Linked DNA regions of Arabidopsis thaliana. The protein of the gene in region 2 interacts with the protein of the main gene of each other region in a biochemical or structural test. Each region holds a gene or a part of one and is shown on either strand. Other genes may lie near its edges. The genes, in order: MVP1 and TGG2.

What was found.
Region 1: the proteins of TGG2 (region 2) and MVP1 form a complex in vitro, tested with the Arabidopsis thaliana proteins (one study listed by BioGRID).

Annotation. Positions count from the first base shown.
Region 1 is NC_003070.9:20,164,072-20,173,474, reverse strand, and holds MVP1 (GDSL-like Lipase/Acylhydrolase superfamily protein), read right to left. Parts: upstream 5,879-9,403; 5' UTR 5,791-5,878; coding exon 5,484-5,790; intron 5,404-5,483; coding exon 5,288-5,403; intron 4,978-5,287; coding exon 4,777-4,977; intron 4,699-4,776; coding exon 4,446-4,698; coding exon of another isoform or gene 4,381-4,445; exon of another isoform or gene 4,376-4,380; coding exon 3,999-4,375; 3' UTR 3,791-3,998; downstream 1-3,790. Other genes in the region: ESP (epithiospecifier protein), read left to right, coding at 1,488-2,480. UniProt on the Arabidopsis thaliana protein: Involved in organization of the endomembrane system and is required for endoplasmic reticulum morphology and organelle distribution. May act by inhibiting the formation of PYK10 complex by binding to GLL23 and exporting it from the ER.
Region 2 is NC_003076.8:9,067,942-9,078,381, forward strand, and holds TGG2 (glucoside glucohydrolase 2), read left to right. Parts: upstream 1-4,766; 5' UTR 4,767-4,788; coding exon 4,789-4,995; intron 4,996-5,092; coding exon 5,093-5,153; intron 5,154-5,319; coding exon 5,320-5,381; intron 5,382-5,466; coding exon 5,467-5,542; intron 5,543-5,635; coding exon 5,636-5,801; intron 5,802-5,904; coding exon 5,905-6,160; intron 6,161-6,252; coding exon 6,253-6,365; intron 6,366-6,469; coding exon 6,470-6,687; intron 6,688-6,791; coding exon 6,792-6,826; intron 6,827-6,902; coding exon 6,903-7,002; intron 7,003-7,092; coding exon 7,093-7,198; coding exon of another isoform or gene 7,199-7,202; intron 7,203-7,292; coding exon 7,293-7,536; 3' UTR 7,537-7,836; downstream 7,837-10,440. Other genes in the region: AT5G25970 (Core-2/I-branching beta-1,6-N-acetylglucosaminyltransferase family protein), read left to right, coding at 1-33; AT5G25990 (core-2/I-branching beta-1,6-N-acetylglucosaminyltransferase family protein), read right to left, coding at 8,166-8,250, 8,359-8,453, 9,313-9,438; AT5G25995 (uncharacterized protein), read left to right, coding at 8,890-9,078. UniProt on the Arabidopsis thaliana protein: May degrade glucosinolates (glucose residue linked by a thioglucoside bound to an amino acid derivative) to glucose, sulfate and any of the products: thiocyanates, isothiocyanates, nitriles, epithionitriles or oxazolidine-2-thiones.

The DNA.
Region 1 (9,403 bases), on a different chromosome or scaffold from region 2:
TGGTATTGATTAAAGAGATAATTAAGGATCGGATATCTGAATAAATATTTCTTTAAAATTAAAATTACCAATCATGTATATTCAAACCCTCATACAGATCGGTTTAAATTCGAATTTATTATTGCAATAGACATATTTTTAACAACATGTAATGTTATTTAAATTATTATTTAGAACAAGATTAGTATATAATATAGTTTTTCAACTTTAGACTTATCTTATAGTTATATATTTCTAAATTTTATGTTGATTGGATATGAATATTTTAGATTTGGAAGTTTGAATTTTATGTTATTACTTTTAAGAGAATACCATTATTGTTATATTAATGCTTTAAAATTTTGAATTAGATTCTTATAATTTTATGTTATATTTGTTGGTAAACATATTTTAAAGAATCTACTGTACTTTGTTTTGGGGTCAAGTACGGAAATTAAATTTTAGATATTTGAGTATTCAGTGTTTTAGAAATTTAGTGTTCATAGACGTAAGAGGAAAAGTTGATGATACTTGAATTAAGTAGAACACCTAAGCATAGTATTTAAAAGGTTTCCATATAGTTGACCAAAAAATTGAAACTTCTATTTTTAATCATTAATAATTCTATTTAGTACTGTGCACAGCCATTAACTAATAAGCGTTGAATCTAGTTTTTTTAATATAACATCTATATATACATTTTTGCAGCTATTTTATCAAATAAATTTTAGAGTTGGACTTATTTACAACTCAATGTCATTAGCATTAAATATTTTTTCCAAAATAATTAATTTTACATTAAATTTTTAATTTAAATTGTCAATCACATTATCAATCAAATTTAATCCAAACAAACTTCACATCAATCCCTTAAAATTAGCATAAACTTCACATTAATTATTTAGACATGAAAATATTTATTTAAAGATTTAAATCTTCTAAATTTTTGCTTTTAGAGTTATTATATCATTACCTAAAAGGCAAAAAATATTAATTTTTTAAAATATTATTATTTGTATATTTAAACTTCATAAAACATTATTAATATTTGAATTTATAAAAAGTTTAATCTATCAAAAATAATTAACATCATTATATAATATATAGAGTTTAAAAAGATCTCAAAAAAAAATTCGTCATATTTTGTGATTCGAAATTTTAAGAATGAACATATATTAACCAATTGGCGAAAAATATGTGGGTTCAACGTCCCGCAACGACTAAAATATTTTGACAATGATTCATAAACATATTATAAATAAGATCAATATTAATAAAGTAAATAGTTTTTTTTTTTGGACGGGTTTGGCAGGACGGGTTTGACAGAACGTTACTTAGTAACAATGGTAAACTATAAAATAATTTACAGATTTTTATATATATTAATTTTAAAAAATGAATTGTCTCCGCGGTGTACCGCGGATTAAAATCTAGTGTTACATAATTATCAAAGGAAATTAAAGAAACACATGCATTATCATCGTATGATTTATGTTGGTGATAAATAGGTGGGGCAGAAAGGAGGAACGGGACCAGGACCTAGAAGTTCACACGGCATAGCCGCGGTCGGAGACAAGCTCTACAGTTTCGGCGGCGAGTTAACACCAAACAAACACATCGACAAAGACCTCTACGTCTTTGACTTCAACACTCAAACTTGGTCAATCGCTCAACCCAAAGGAGACGCCCCAACTGTATCCTGCTTAGGCGTGCGCATGGTGGCCGTGGGAACTAAGATCTATATCTTTGGAGGCCGCGATGAGAACCGCAACTTCGAAAACTTTCGCTCCTACGATACGGTGACATCCGAGTGGACATTCCTGACGAAGCTTGATGAGGTGGGAGGACCCGAGGCTCGTACTTTCCATTCGATGGCTTCGGATGAAAACCATGTGTATGTATTCGGTGGGGTGAGCAAAGGCGGTACTATGAATACTCCCACGCGGTTCAGGACAATCGAGGCGTATAACATTGCTGATGGGAAATGGGCTCAGCTACCGGATCCAGGAGATAACTTCGAGAAAAGAGGAGGAGCGGGATTCGCTGTGGTACAAGGGAAGATTTGGGTGGTTTATGGGTTTGCGACCTCGATTGTGCCCGGAGGCAAAGATGACTATGAGTCTAATGCTGTGCAATTCTATGATCCGGCTTCCAAAAAGTGGACCGAAGTAGAGACTACAGGAGCGAAACCTTCCGCAAGGAGCGTGTTTGCCCATGCGGTAGTGGGAAAGTATATAATAATATTTGCAGGTGAGGTATGGCCTGATCTCAATGGGCATTATGGTCCCGGGACGCTGTCCAATGAGGGATATGCGTTGGACACCGAGACACTGGTGTGGGAAAAGTTGGGAGAAGAAGGTGCACCAGCCATACCACGAGGTTGGACTGCCTATACTGCTGCCACTGTCGATGGAAAGAATGGCCTCCTCATGCATGGCGGAAAGCTTCCGACCAACGAGCGAACTGATGATCTCTACTTCTATGCGGTCAATTCAGCTTAATGCGTGTCAAGATTTGTGTTGTGTGTGTGGCTCGTTAATATTTATTACTATCCAATAAGGAGCCCTAATGGTTTGCTGTATTATTACAAATTATCTGTGTGTGGGACTCGTCGAGCTTTTTTACTCTAATGAGGCCTACTCATGGTTGTGTGAGTGGTTCCTTAAGTATCATTGTCCAATAAGGAGCCAATTTATTTATGGCTGGCTGTTTTATTACAAATTATGTGTATGTGTTAATAATTAAAGATTGAATTATCTACAACTTTATCGTATTATCATTTATTTTCTCTCAATGGTTTTAACTTTTAAGTCTTAACATATACCGTAGCATGAAATTTGTGACTACGAGTTTGGGTAGAGGTGCGGGATTCCTTGTGGCGCAAGTCATGATTTGGGTGGTTTATGGGTTTGTGACTTCAAGTTTGCCTGGAGGGAAAAGTGACTACGAGTCTAATGCTGTGCAATTCTTGGATCCCGCTTTTGGAAAGTTGACAGACACAGAAGTAGAGAGTACGGGAGCAAAGCCTTCAGCAATGAGCGTGTTTGCATATGCAACAGCGGGAAAACATATAATAATATTTGGAGGTGAGATCTGGCGAGACCCAAAGGCACATTAAGGTCCAGCCGTCCAGGGACGTTGTCTACCGAAGGTGATGCGTTGAACACTGAGACAAGTCTGGGAGAAGTTTGGAGGAGGAAATGAACCGGAGATGCCACGTGGTTGGACCACCTACACCCAGTGCCGGCTCATACCATTTATGTGCCTTATAGCAAAAAATTTAAACATATATATTTTGTGTCTCTTTTGCATGTATAATTTTTTTTTTGTACCTCTTTGGTATATACAAAAAAAAATATTGTGCTCATTTTTTTTTTTTAAAGAAAATTTCCCGGATATAGGGCGGTCGCATTGTCCGCCTTTTTACTTAACCCGGCACTGCCTACACCACTGCCACCATCTATGGAAAAAGAGGTATCTTCGTACATGGCGGAAAGCTTCCGACCAACGGCCGTGCTGATGATATCTACTTCTATACATGCAGTCAATTCAGCTTAATGCATATGTTAAGGTTTATGTTGTTTTTGTGGTTAGTCGTGTTAATTATTAGTTTATTACTAATAAAGAGCCAATTTTATATAACCTGTTTTAAATTTGTTGTCATTGTAAAAATTACCATAAGTACATGCCAGTATGAGTCTTTTAAGTACGTGTTTAAGACAATACAGTGAAATTCCTACAAAATTGTCATTTGATTTTTCTCAGATGGTCTTAAATCTTATGTTTTAACACCGAATAAGAAGCCAAGTGGGCTAAATTGGGGCTACGGAAACTGAGTGAGACAATACTAATGGGCTATATTGGACCCATGGAAATGGTCCAGTAAAGCTTCTAATTGACTTAATAAGGTTGATTGTTTTATTACTAAACAAGAAAAATGGATGTTTCAGTTTTCTTGCTAGTTCTTTGTTACACTAGCTCTTAAACTCTCTCGCTTAAATCAAACTGTAACCACAATCTTATATCATAAAGGAGATAGCTTTGTCAACTTGATAAAGCCAATGATTATCCATCTCTGACTCCATCTTCTTGATATCATAGAGACTCTCAATGTTGCTCTGTCTCGGTCTCATGGCAGCCATAGCTTCTTGTATACCAGCTAAGATGACTGTAATGTCTAGAGGAAGGACCATAAGCTCCCTGATATTGTTCGGTCCAATCACTTCCGGATCTGCTCCCCACATCAAATGCCCGACCTGAAGGTTGGCTTCTTGCGTCAAATGCTTACCATCAAAGAAGATATACTCTTCAGGCTTGGCGCATACATTTTTAGCTGAGCAATTACTCCCGTTGATAGAGCCAGTTCCACAACAAGCAGCGTTTCCTGTCTCGAATGCTGCATCAGACAAGACAGATGTCAAAACGTTTGTAAAACGTTATCGTGACGATGATGATAAAAGGCTTACTATAAGTCTTAGACTTGATAACTCTGTTTTGGATCGAGCTAAAGAAGTCGTAAAACGAGTACTGGAAACCATTTAGTTCTCTTGATAGTTCAACCAAGAGCTGCAAAAGTTTCTTGTTATGCAAAGCAGCCATTTCCGAAGGCAATTTCACACATTCTTGAACATTTCCGCTTGCTTGTTTCACGGCCGGTAAGCAACCTAACGGTGCCAAGTTCTGGAATGCGAATTTCCTTCCGCCAGACCCGTAAACCACCTGAAATACGAAAACAAATAAAAAATATTGAAAACTGCTAATCAAAGCTTAGATGTTGTAGCTGCTGCGAGTTCTAACCTTTATTTCTGCTTTTATGGTAGTGATGACTTGATCAACAAAAGCTTGTTTCTGAGTATCTGATGGACTTGGATTACTCTTAGCATAGCTCAAGTAATCATCAGAACCAATGTAGATCAAGTAGATAGCTTCAGAACGTGTTTGATTTGTCCACTTATTCTTGTTTTCCGAGAATTTCTTCACTTGTTGTGACAAAGTCATCTGTATAAAAATCATTCAAAGATCTATTTTAACCTAAAACTCCTTCAAGATTTGACCTAACACTATACTTTTGCAATCTCAAGTTTTAGAATTTTCTGTTTTTTTTTCTCAAGTTTTAGATTGTTTCTAGATAACATCGGTTTTGCATTAGAGACCACAGAAGTCAAACTCAATTCCAGATTTTGACTTGGCTACAATACTTAATTCTAAAGTTGCAAGAATCAAAGTAAGAACCATAAAATGAAATCCAGCAAGTGAATTTAAATTACTACAGAGAAATTAGCGGTGGCAAAACAAAAAAAAAACTGACCGTCTCCGGAGGAGAGCCAAGAACGGTAGCGTCGGCGATGGCGAAATTAGCTCCGTGAGAAAAATCCGCCGTGGTTAGGAGAATCGGAGAGATTTTAGGAATTCCCATGAATTTAGCTAAAGGAAAAAAAAAAACAATCAAATTAAACACAAATGAATAAATAGTTATAGATATTTGAAGTGATCAATACAATTACCAAGATAATCAGGAACGATAGAACCATCGGACCACCGTCCGGTGGCTTGTCCTACAGTGACTCCATAAGGAGGAAAGCTTGCGTCAACTCGGTTCTGAGAGAGAAACTGTTTGTTTCCGGCGTCGTAAAGACCATCTCCGAACACAAAGAGCGTCTGAGCAAAGGAGACAGTGTGAAAGTGGAGAAGAAGAAGAGGGAAGAGTAAGAAGAAGTGAGATTTGAGAATCGCCATTGAAAGATCGGAAAGAGAAAGCTTCGACGGTGGTGGTTCGTTAGAATTTGCGGTGAAGGAAGGTATCAAAAGCATTGATGAGGCCTCGTGACCAACGTTTCTATTTTTTTAAAAGAATATTATTACAAGAAGACTATTCTTTCGTTAGTCCTTTAGAAGTGGCATTATTTTATTTTAGTCATATTAAATTATTTCATATTTTTAATTTATATATACATTTTTGCAGCCATTTTAGCAAATAAATCCTCTACTTGACACTTATTTACAATCTAATGCCATTAGCATTAAATCTTTTTTCCAAAATAATTAATTTTACTTTAAATTTTTGATTTAAATTGTCAATCACATTATCAATCAAATTTAATCCCAACAAACTTCAAATTAATCCCTTAAAATTAGCATAAATATATTTGCTAACAATATTTTAAAACAAAGTTTTTTGTTAAATAAATATTATTCTTACTAAACGTTTTTTGTTTAAATAAATAAATTTTGTATTTGAACTTATTTACAATGTCATGTTACTGACATTAATTATTTATCAATGAAAATATTTAATTAAAGATTTAAATCTTCTAAATCCTTGCTTTTAGAGTTATTATGTCATTACCTTATAAGCAAAAATATTATTTTTAAAATATTATTATTTATATATATAAAATTTATAAAACATTATTAATATTTAAACTTATAAAAAGTTTGATATATCACAATTGTTTAACATCATTATATAATATATAGAGTTTAAAAAAATCTTAATTTTTTCTGTCATATTTTATGATTCAAATTTTTTAAAATAAACATATATTAACCAACTGGCAAAAAATGTGTGGGTTCAACGTCCCGCATCGACAAAAATATTTAGACAATAATTTATAAACATATCAGAAATAAGATCAACATTAATATAAATAAATGTTTTTTTTACGGGACGGGTTTGGCGGGACGGGTTTGGCAAGACGTTCTTAATAATAATTGTAAAGTATAAAATAAAAATATATTATAGACAGATATAATTTGCAAAAAAAAGTTATACTAACTTTAAAAAGATAAATTGTCACCGCGGTATACCGCGGGTTAAAATCTAGTATAACTTCATTTTACATCCACTTCCATGTGAACAAATGATAAAATTATTATTTTATTTAGAAAAGTTTTATAGTATTTTTCTCATGTTTATTTTCAAAGATTACAAACAATTTTGAACTTGAATTTGAAAACTGAATTTGGAATCAAAATAAACCAATTATTACAAAAAATATTAGCTTATAAATTTCAAAACTTATATATATGAGTAATTTATATTTGAGGAATTCTTAGTTTCTCACAACAAAAATAAGTTTTGTTTCTAAAAATAACACACATTTGCAAATGTTCTACTAATAGCATAAATTTAGTGTTAAGAGATTAATATTTTTCTTTTAAAGATTAAATTATTTTCAAAAAGTTATATAGAAGTAATTTATATTTGAAAAATTCTCACAAATAATACAAAAATAAGTTTTGTTTCTAAAAATAACACACATTTTCAAATGTTCCACTAGTGCATAAATTTAGTGTTAAAAATTATTTTTTTTCTTGTTTCACAAAGATTGATGTTCTATATCACATCATTAATTTTTTTATTGCTGACCAATAAAAAGAAGAGAGATATATAGTTAATATTATTAAACTAACAAAACAATAATTTTAAAATATAAAAGTTGTTTTTCTTAATTTGTGTGAAAATCTCACAATATCAAATTTGGTGGAACAAATGGAGTAGATATTGTTCCAACTCAAATCACAAAAATGTTGAAAAATAATTCAATATTACGCTCAGAAAAATGTAAACTTATCATACTATGATGTTGATTTAGAATTGTTTAGAAATATTTAAATTAATTTAATTTTTTAAATAAAGATAACATAGTCATTGTATTATCAATAACTAATTTTATCTTTGACAATTTATGTGATAGGTACTATAAAATTTACTTTTATACTAGTTTAATATATATATATATATGTATATTATATTAATATATTTGTTTTATCACGAAATTGTCGCTATGTGGCCATATTTTTAATTTTTTTCGGTGGCCTGAGGGCATAAATAATTATTTTATTTGGATACAAGATTGTAACTTCATTCATGGATCAGCAGCTCCATGTGTTCACCTCGATAACGAAAACGATATTTTGAATTAGTCAAATTATTGATTGGCGATAACGTATTGCTTCTACGAATGTTATGGAATTAATTAATTAATTTCATGTACGTATCATATTTTCTTTTTTGAAATTTTGACTAACATTTTAACACTTTTTTTGGCCAGTAGTGAGCTGTTTTATGTTTTCTGATATAGTTTTTCTTTACAGCTTATTAAAAAATTTAGTCATGTGATATAGTAAAAATTTGCGTAATTATCTTAATTTGTGTGAAACATGTCATTATTAAGATAGTTTATCAAAAACATGTCATTATTACACTTTTTATAAAACATAATGAATATCTTACAAATCTACTATTTAAACTAAACTTATTCATAGATTTGGTCCATATCATTTTATACTTACTATAATTTTTATTAAGTTTACTTGATTTTAAGTTTATTGAAAAAGTGTGGGCACAACAACACACATGCATGTGTTGGTGGTGGTTGAGAAATAAAATAAAAATGTGAATTACAATAGCATTTTCCCCTATAACTAACAGGTTGTTCTACATGACTAAATATCTTCTAACCAGTGGCATTTTCATAGGCAATTATAAATAGTATATTAATTAGTGTAATATCTAAAAGAAAAAATGTATATAAGACAATAAAAATACATGTATTTAAAGCTAAATGGAGAAAAAAGAAGCAAAAGTGTTATGCTAGAGATTTGATCCCGGAGTTGAGGGTGTCAAGTGACCCCCCTTTTTCCTAAATAGGTCCGCCCCTGTTTCTAACTAACATATTTCTTCAAAAATGCAAAAACAAATTGAGATTTATCTTGTCGCAACTTTTTTTTTTTAATCATTATCATGTCGCAGTTTGATGGACCCGTGATTTTGAGTTTCTTCATTTTTTTCTATATCATTAATATTATATATATATATATATGCATATATATTTGAGTTTGAGTCAGATCAATTTATACTGATTAGTTGTAAAGAATTTGAAACTTTGAAGCATGGATAAAGGGTTTAAATAAGGTTTTAGGGATTTAGGAATTCATGTTTAAGATTCGGTTAGAAAGTATAGGATTCAGTTTTTACTTTTTAAGATTTGTAGTTTAGTTGAATATACATTGGTGCTCTTTTAATTATTTTTAACAAAAAGAAGAAGTTATTTTTAACAAGATAAAGACTATTAAAAAAATCTCTTGAAAATAAATGATGTTTTGGTTCAACAAAACTTGAATACATTAATTATTAAGGGTTAACAAAAAAAATTATTAAGGGTAATTTAAAAACTGTGAGAGAAAAAACATTAATCATTGCTCAAGTCTTTCTTCTTCTTTTTTTGGTCGCTCAATGCTCAAGTGTGTTCTGCTTTCTAGAGCAGCAACTTTTTGACAAAAGGAAAAAGAAAAACATCTTTCTCAACCTTATTAAAAATAGAACAAACGTGTCTAGGTAGAAGAACTGTAGAAACTAACTAGTTAGTTTCAATTGATATAAGACATAGCAAAAACGTGAGAGATTGAATATTCACGGCGT
Region 2 (10,440 bases):
GTTCAAATTGCACCCAAACTTTTGAGTTCTTGAGTAGGTAACGTCACTAAGAAAACTCATGAATTTAACATAGATATCATATAAATGTATGTGGAGTTGGGGTTAATTGGCTATTAAGGTGAGATTGAATAGTTAGTTTTGGTGGGAGGAGAGACTATTAAATTTCCACGTGTATGATCTTGGCAGGTTATAAAATCTCACTTAGTTGCTCTCTTTTTGTATTTTCAACTAGATTTTAAAACCCGCGGTATACCGCGGGGACAATTTATTTTTTTAAAAGTTAATATATATAAAAGTTTGCAAATTGTATCTATGTATAAAATATTTTTATTTTATAGTTTACAATTGTTATTAAGTAACGTCCTGCCAAACCCATCCCGCCAATCCGTCCCGTAAAAAAACCTATTTATTTTGTTAATGTTGATCTTATTTATGATATGTTTATGAATCATTGTTTAAACATTTTGTAATTTTGTAGTAATTAACTGTTATCAAATATCTCTACGGTTTGATGCTTATAATCGAATTATTATAGTCATGAAAAAAGCAATTTAAAAAATAATAATTTTGTAGTGTTTAAATGATATTAAATATTTTGGAAGTTTTATTTTAGTAACTAATTGTGTAGTTAATGTGGAGAGATTGTGGGAAAGTAGTTAAATGCAAATATTTAATCCTAAGATTTACTTTTTAATTATGAAAAACAATTATTAAATACCAATGACAACCATTGTAAATAAGTTTCAACTTGAGGATTTATTTAACAAAGTGGCTGCAAAAATGTATATGTAGATGGTATGGCATTGATGTATTACAACAAAGTTTGTAAGTAGTTTGTGCCACATCCATAAACAAAAAGCTCTTTCGTGAATGAATATTTGTTCTCAATAACCCGCAACATTTTCAAAGATGATAATCTACCACATTACTATTATTATATTGAATTTTAAGGTTTTGATTGGTTATTTGGTTACTAATAATGACAAAACATTTGGTTCTTTTGACTCACGCTCAAGAGAACCGATGTCTATCTCTTGTTTCGTTTTGGATTTGTTGTTATCGACTTACGCTTATGTAGGGTCGAAAGGTGTTTCTTGTTCCTTGGTTTTTGATTAATAAAACGAGAACTTCAAGTCTTTGATATCTCTGTTTTCTCAAGAAGAAAAATAACAATTGATGTTTATTATTATTTTAAATATAATTTAATATTAGATTAAAAAAACAAAAACAATTGATGCTTGATCCGGTATGGTTTAAACACTTTATAGGCCCAAAGGAATTATTAAATAGGCCCCTAAACATGTAAATTATAGAGTCAACTTTTCTAAAATTTATTGTTATATTTTTGTAAATGTTATAGCTAGAGGGAAAAAAATAGGGAATGTGACACGTTTAGACACTTTTAGAGAATTTTATTCCTTTTGAGGCACTTGTCAGGGATGAGGCACTTTTCCAACTTTTTCATTAAACTTTTGACCAATTTACCCCTGAAAATTAAAAAATTATAATTAAAAAAAAAGTTTCATCTCTCCACGTTCCTTTTTTTTCCTTCTTCTTCGTCGCTTCTTCTTTTCTCTCTCTCTCTCTTTCTCTCTCTTCTCATTATTACTTTTTTTTCTTTCCTTGCAAAATCAAACATTTAAGAGTTTATCAAAATCAAACATTTGAGAGTTTATGGAAAACCCAAGTTGGCAAATTCCAGTATTAAATTTCATATCCATTTGATCGCCTTGTTTGGTACAATTTGATTCTTTCTTGATAAATTGATGTTTCATTGAACGTCTAACCTTAAAAGCATATTCTTTTGCTTATGAGAATCACTTATTTCCACATGGTTACGTTTACGTGGACAAGTTATCATGGAGACAAACTAGCATAATTTTTATCTTCTCTGTCTTCCATGTTTTTTTTTTTTCATCATTTTTATTTTCTTTTTCAAAATCATCAATCATGGTGGTTCTCTATAATTCTTACAAATCATAGAAATTCTGAGATTATCTCAAAATTCTCTATCATAACTTAAAAACGAAGAATATATTAAGAATCAACAACAGAACATTGCTGCTACAATTGATCTTCTTACACGCTTTATATACTTAAACTTGAGTACTTGGACACTCATCAATGGACAACTATGCTTCAGATGTGAGTTACTAGATGACCACTTGGACTAGAGTGCTTGGACACTTATCAATGGACAACTATGCTTCAAATGTGAGTTAATAGATGACCATTTGGACTTGAATGCTTGGACACTCATCAATGGACAACTATGCCTCAGATGAAGTTACATCGACAATGGCCTTTTTGCTGCTACTCGCGTTCTCAACATCACGAACCGTTTCAAGCCCAGATTGCTTAGAAGGTAACTGATCATGGTTAACATCCTCACTTTTCATTGTAATCGATGACAGAGATTCCTTAATCAAGGAGAGAAATAAATGGAACCAAATCAAATAATTGTTGAGAGACAGGGAAGATGATGATAAATCATATGAAATTGGGTTTTTAGTTTTGATTTGGAATATTGAGATTCCCGTAAAAAATTGATTTTGATTTTGGAAAGAGAGAGAAATAAAGACGATGGAGAAAAGAGTTGAGAGAGAAAATGAGGAGAAAGCGTTGTGGTTCAGAGGGCAATTTAGGAATTTTGATTTGGTAAAGTGCCTTCTCCTTTCAAAGTGCCTATTTGTGGCTAAAGTTTCAAAATAGTGCCTATACGTGTAATATTCTCAAAAAATTATGAACTCCTTTTGGTTCTGTTTTATCCGCAAAATTTTCTTTTTTTTTTGCCTCTTTAACCTATAAATTTTCCTTTTATTTTTGTCAACAAAATATTCTCTAAACATTTTTAGCCATAGATATGTGTACGGTCGCATTATTAAACAATAACAACTGAACGTATTCGAACCAAAATTTTTAAAATAATCGAATGGTTAGTAAACTCCCTTATCCAAACTAGCCAAAACTGAACCAAACTGAACCGATGCTTAAACTATTAATTGACATATCCAAAACCCTAGAAAATACCCAAAAATAATATCCAAACTATAATTTTAAACTCAAAATACTAATTATTTTTAGAATCAAAACAATCAAGTACTTTAATTAATCAACATATTCAAATCTTGTTAATATTTATCAAAGTCAAATACTCTATTACAAAACTGAACCAAAATTTAATATTCTTTATAAATTTTTCCTTTTTTGTATTTTCTTTCCGTATTTTTTTGGTTAATTTCTTTTAGTTTCGGTTAATTTTGGTTATTTTGATAAAACCTAACCAAATCGAAAAGTAACCGAACAGAACCAAATCGAAATTCCTAAAATATCTGAATGGTTATTATATTAACATATCCGAACTAACCGATACTAAACGCAAACGAACCAAAACCGACTGGTTAATCGAATGCCATGCCTACCCTGACAAAACAACAAGATTGAAACCCTATATATTTTTTTAGTTAATATATATAAGAAATAAACCTATATTTTCTTAATGTATTTAAATATGAATAACCAATAAAAAAATGTAATGGTAACGAAAATATGACTGTTTTCAGATGAAAAGCACCTCCAATTATTTTGAAACGATTAAAAAGTGCAAAAAAAGTTTTTCCTTTTCTTTTGGAGGACGAGTCTCTGGTTTCATGTGATAAAAGCATCGTCGAGCGGCCACAATCCATAGGATATGTGATGTCAGCGGTGAGGTTCGTGATGAATTTACTTGTTTTTCTTAACGAACGCATTGTAACTCTAAATTAAACAGTCGAAAATATATCTATAAACGTTTTCAATAACTCTCTGGTGTTAATTCAAAACTCTATGCTCAACATTTTTTTTTTTTGGATAACTAGGAGATAATCCGGCTTTTTACCATCTCACTTCATCAAGATGAGTATAACCATCAAATGGCCAATTCACCGGATTTTCTAATAAGCGTAAAACATACGACTATTTCGACTAACCAAATGAACTGTACGTCCAATTTAATTAAGAGGCTTTGATGAGCATAATCTACTACAAGGAATCTTTGCCCAAAACACAAAAAAAAACAAACAAAATCTACTACAAGGAATCTTGATCCATATCCTTCTAGTTTTGCGCAAACCTGCGATGCATGCCATGCTAATCCCCAATCCAACCCAAATTGACGCGGCGGCATAGGCACAAGAAGAGATTAGGGGTGGCATTTGATCCCATAAAATTATTAAAATTTCGCGTACATTTTTGTCAAAAAAAAAAAAAAGTGGTGTAAATTCAATTGACCAGAAAATTAGCAAAATTTACCTTTTCCCACCAATAAATATTTGTTTGAAAAGGTAAATATTCATATTTATTTATTTGTATATTTTAACCATGATGAATGTTTTTATTATTATTCCCGTATTCCGGCACTGCTTGGCATCCGTGTGGTGTTGATTTGGTAGATGTCACACAACCCATTTCTCTTTACCAAATAAACTCTAAAAATAGAAATAATCAACGGTTTTTTTTTCTAATTTATATATCAAGAGTATATTTTAATTTTATTTTTAATCAACAGTTCACAGTTGAGAGCTTGAGATAAAGAAATTTTCATTATATCAAATATAATCTAACCCATTCTCAACGTGGGAAAAAGAATTAGTATCGGTGACACTGAGATAGAGTACGTGTACGTGAACCCTTGAACCCACGGGATTCATGTCACCTAAACCTCCGGAAAATAATAAGCACAATGTAATGCATAGGTCAGTACTCTTCTTTACAAAGGCTATATAAACCCTAGATTGGCACAAGGCTTCCATGCAACACAACACATACATCTACATATTAACCATGAAGCTTCTTGGGTTCGCCTTAGCTATTCTATTAGTTGTGGCGACTTGCAAACCTGAAGAAGAGATTACTTGCGAAGAGAACGTTCCATTCACATGTAGCCAAACAGATCGTTTCAACAAACAAGATTTCGAAAGCGACTTCATCTTCGGTGTTGCATCTTCTGCTTACCAGGCATGTAACAAAAGTACACATTGTATTGCCAGACCGAAATGATTTAACGTCAAAACTCTAAAATCCAACGTTGCATGGTTGTTTCTTTTCATTTCAGATCGAAGGCGGCAGAGGTCGTGGACTTAACGTTTGGGATGGCTTCACTCACCGATACCCAGGTTTGTCATTTGCATGATTCCTATAAATTAAGTTTTACGTATCCATATGATTTTTTTTTTGTCCAAATGACGTATCATATTACGTATCCATATGATATGAAATATTTCTTATGTATATATGTCTCTATACATTCATAGTAATGTCATTATATACGTACGCTATCAGAGAAAGGTGGAGCCGATTTGGGCAATGGAGACACTACTTGTGACTCATACCGGACTTGGCAGGTTAATTTCTCATCACTATATATATGCACTGAATGATCTATTAACTGCGTGTGGATTAACATATGATTTTGTATATAAACTGCAGAAAGATCTAGACGTGATGGAAGAGCTTGGAGTTAAAGGCTACAGATTCTCCTTTGCGTGGTCAAGAATCCTTCCAAGTATGTACACATTATTGATCCATATATGTATATAGTAACATTGGATTGTGATTGTTTGGAAGAGTATTAAATATACAATATATAAATGAGCAGAAGGAAAGAGGAGTAGGGGAATCAACGAAGATGGTATTAACTACTACAGCGGTCTCATAGATGGCCTGATCGCAAGGAACATAACGCCTTTCGTTACACTCTTTCACTGGGACCTTCCTCAATCATTGCAAGATGAATATGAAGGTTTCTTGGACAGAACGATCATGTATGTTATTGATGTCATGCTGCTTAATAAGAAAGATTACAAAATACGTAAATATTTGAAATTGCATTAAGGAAATGATTATATATATATAAAATATGCGCAGAGACGATTTCAAAGATTACGCGGATCTATGTTTCGAGAGATTTGGTGATAGAGTAAAGCACTGGATCACCATCAACCAGCTTTTCACAGTGCCTACGAGAGGCTATGCATTGGGAACAGATGCACCCGGTCGATGTTCCCAATGGGTGGATAAAAGATGTTACGGTGGAGATTCTTCCACCGAACCCTATATCGTTGCGCATAACCAGCTTCTTGCTCATGCCACGGTCGTTGATCTATACAGGACGAGATATAAGGTCAGGTCTCCAATATTTGTGAAAGGTGCATGTGATGTAATACTATAATATTTTAATTAATATTGTGTATATATATGTCTATGTGACCACAGTACCAAGGAGGGAAGATTGGACCTGTGATGATAACTAGATGGTTTCTACCATATGATGACACTCTAGAGAGCAAACAAGCAACTTGGAGGGCCAAAGAATTCTTCTTGGGATGGTATATATCAATATCCAAAAATAAAATGATTTTTTTTTTTATAAATGAAATGATTTTAAAAATTAATATGTAAATTAATAAAAATATGTATGTACGTACATCAGGTTCATGGAGCCGCTAACAAAGGGTAAATACCCATACATCATGAGGAAACTTGTTGGTAATCGGCTTCCAAAGTTCAACAGCACAGAAGCTCGCCTTTTAAAGGGTTCATATGATTTTCTTGGTCTCAACTATTACGTCACTCAATACGCCCACGCCCTTGACCCAAGTCCTCCGGAAAAACTCACTGCCATGACGGACTCACTCGCAAACCTTACATGTACCACTCTCTATATACTTTCATTTCATTAGTTACAACCTTTCTATATTTTGGTAATCACAACATTTTGTGACCATCAAGTTATATCATCCTTGTGTTTACAGCTCTTGATGCAAATGGTCAACCCCCTGGTCCACCGGTATGCATGATTCACCCTTATTATTTCATTCATTTTACGCAAAATATTATGATTCATAGTATCTTCTCTTTCTCAGTTCTCTAAAGGCAGTTATTACCACCCAAGAGGGATGTTAAACGTAATGGAGCACTTCAAAACCAAATACGGTGACCCTTTAATCTATGTCACCGAGAACGGTTAGTTCTACTACTCATCTCTTTCATCTATACATGTTAAGTGTATTTCAAAAATGGTTCAAGATATTGACTCAAATACTGTGGAATTAGGATTCAGTACCTCCGGTGGCCCCATACCCTTCACCGAAGCATTTCACGATTACAACCGGATTGATTATCTCTGCAGTCATCTATGTTTTCTCCGCAAGGCCATCAAGTGAGTGGATGCTACTCTTCTTTAGTTGTTCTTTATCCATATCAATATAACATATTTATGATCAGTCAATCATTCAAAACGTTCTTGTTTCTAGGGAGAAGCGTGTCAACGTGAAAGGATACTTTGTTTGGTCTCTTGGGGATAATTACGAATTCTGCAACGGCTACACCGTCAGATTCGGACTTAGTTACGTTGATTTCAATAATGTCACTGCTGATAGAGACCTCAAAGCTTCTGGCTTATGGTACCAGTCGTTCTTGAGAGATACCACCAAGAACCAAGATATCCTCCGCTCAAGTCTGCCCTTTAAGAACGGGGATAGGAAGAGCCTCACATGAAAGACCAAAACCACTTTATGCCCATCGAGATCATCTTCATGTCTCTTCTTTCTACTTGCTCCATAGATAAAAGGAGCTTCTACCTACTGTATTAAATAAAAGATGATCAAACTTAATAAATATTTTGTATACTACATTATGCCATGGGATGGGGAAAAATCCGATGAAACCAAAATTGAACTAAACTCGAAATGCTTAGTTGTTTATCATTTTAAAACCAAAACTAAAAAACCGAAACTGAAATTTGTTTAAAAACTAATTTTTTTTTGTTTTCTTAAAAACAAGAGAGCAAAAAAAAACGAACCAAAAATTGTTTAGTGTAACCAGATAACAAAATCTATTTGTTTTCAACTTTAATTACATTTTCATATTTTATAGGGGAAGACGGAGATATGATGTACAACATAAAAGAATGATGTAAAGTTCAAAGAATGTTTTAAGGAAGATGATGGATTAGTTAATATCTTAAACTAAGTTTCCTTATACTTCATTTTTAACTTCTATCAAAGATAACTACATCTTTTAATATTATTTTATATATTTGATACTCCTATTTCTTTACATTTCGGTGTGTTTACATACAAATTTGTTTGTGTATAACTTAAAATGAGTTAAAATGTAATTTCCATCTAAAACCACTGAGACCCTTTTCTCCATTGGTCTATGGAAACTTCAGGGGCCATGTTGCCGTAGTAGCGGCCTCGGCCATAGGCACTGGGATGATCAAATTAACCTATAAAGCTATGCTCTGATTCGGTTATGTACGTGTAGATAGTTGTGAAGTTGAATAGGGGAATGCATGACTCGGTGAGGAGAACAAACCATTCGTTTGAGATATCGAGTAGCGCATAGGCATAGAGGGTGAAGTTTTCATGTCCACGCCGAGTCAACTCGAAAGTTTGTGCTAAAGTAGAAGTCTAGAAGGATATATATGCATCAAAATTTCTTGTAGTAGAATAATTGATAATGACATATAATAGATTTTTAAAATTTTATCGGGGTCAACTGACCCTCCTATCAAAGCCATGCCTCCGCCACTGCCGAGGATACTAAGACCATCCTCAATGGTAGTATATTAACAAGGGTTTTTAGCAATTTTTTAATTATTAATTTTGAAACTGTTAAACTTAGAGCTTGGGTAAGAATTTTAGTTTTTAGCATTGTCCAATGGTAGTATTTTAAATTGGGTTCTTAAAAAAAGAGTCAAATTTTTTTGGTGTAATTGGTGTTTGAAGAGTTGATAATCACATCAAAACTTGTCAAATGCAAAACATAGATTCATGATCTACGTACACATATTTAATTTGAGTGACTATAATTCAGAGATTCAGGTACAACATATTAAAGCTAAATATGATGATGCTTGCAATAAAGCTTAACCTTGTGAGCTATGAAAACCTTAATAGCAGCATAGTTTTCTCAACAGATTCAGTGAAAGGAATCTCAGGAGCGTATGTGACGAAATCGGAGAGGTTACGGAGAACAGCTGATTTCATCAAACAGTGGGATTCAATATCTTGCATGGTGGAGCCACCGGGTTAGAGTGTTGAGAGCCACCAAAAAATCCATTGCTTCAGTGTAAACCAATTTGAACTCCACAACTAACCTCAATAGCTTACTGGTAAACTCTTAAACCTCATAGCAGAACGATATTATATAACAATAACATATATCCTACAATTGAAATAGAAAAGAGAGAACACATAATCATCATATACATTAAAACAGGAGCAAAATTGAATTATAAATAGAAGAACTGAAAGGATAAATACTCACCATAACATTGTGATGAAGCTGATCAGGAAGCTTCTTGACGAGATTGTCGTTTTGTTGAAGACGAACTCGCCGATTAGATGAACGAAAGTCACCGTGGAGAGCCAGTGTAGGTGGAGATGATGACATAACGGCGGAAGGATGGCCGAAGTTCAGAAAAATTAGAGACTCCTTCGATTGTTTCAATTTGAGGCAGAGATACAGAGAAGGAATCGAGTTAAAGAGATAGAGAGAAGGAAGAGGAAGAGGAAGAGAGTAGATTTTTTTGCTTTTATATTTCTTCCTCACTTTCTTAATGAGCGACACGTGCCGCCTCTTACTTTAATTTTTTAGCTCTTACCTAAGAGGCGCTCTTGAGATAATACCCATTAAAACATTAATTTTAAATAGGATTAAACATAAGAACCAGCTTAAAACCTTGCGTTGCGGATGCTCTAAGGTTTCGAAACAGAATCGTTCACACTGGTTACAGAATTTGACCGAGCCGCCAAAAGAGAAGTGAAGTAGTGCCCTTTATTAACGCTGGAATTCCTCGATGGAATTTGATGTCTCTGGTGATTTTAACTAGTTCCGAGCTCTAATTTCTGTTTTATGTGATGTTTTGATTTTTATAGTCCATTTTGCCAAAGTTAATGTATATTAAAAAAAATAATACAAAATCCAAAAAATATTGTAGTTCTAAGTGCTGCGGCGGGACTAGATTATAAGGTGTGCTACTATACATTGGTTTGTTTTTTCCAAAGTTTTTCTTTTCTTTTTAACATTCTATTCTCTTGTACCTAATCATTTAACATCTATTAAATTTTAACTTCTACAATGATTTATTTAATAATAAAATCCAGCATCCTACCCCATAATTTTTTTAATCTCATATTCTGATTTTCTTAAATATTTTTAGTTACATATTAAAATAACTTATCAAGTGAAATTAAATTAAGGTAACTAAAATTTAATTAAATTTGTCATTTATTTTATAATCTTATTGTTGAGATGTATTTTTTAAAGAGATGTCTGAAAGTTAAAACAAAAGTGTATGTGAAGATAATAAAAAAAAACATTATGAGGGAAACAAATTTATAATAAATTAGATATTGTTCTCTATGTTCAAATCAAGTGAAACAAGTCTTTATT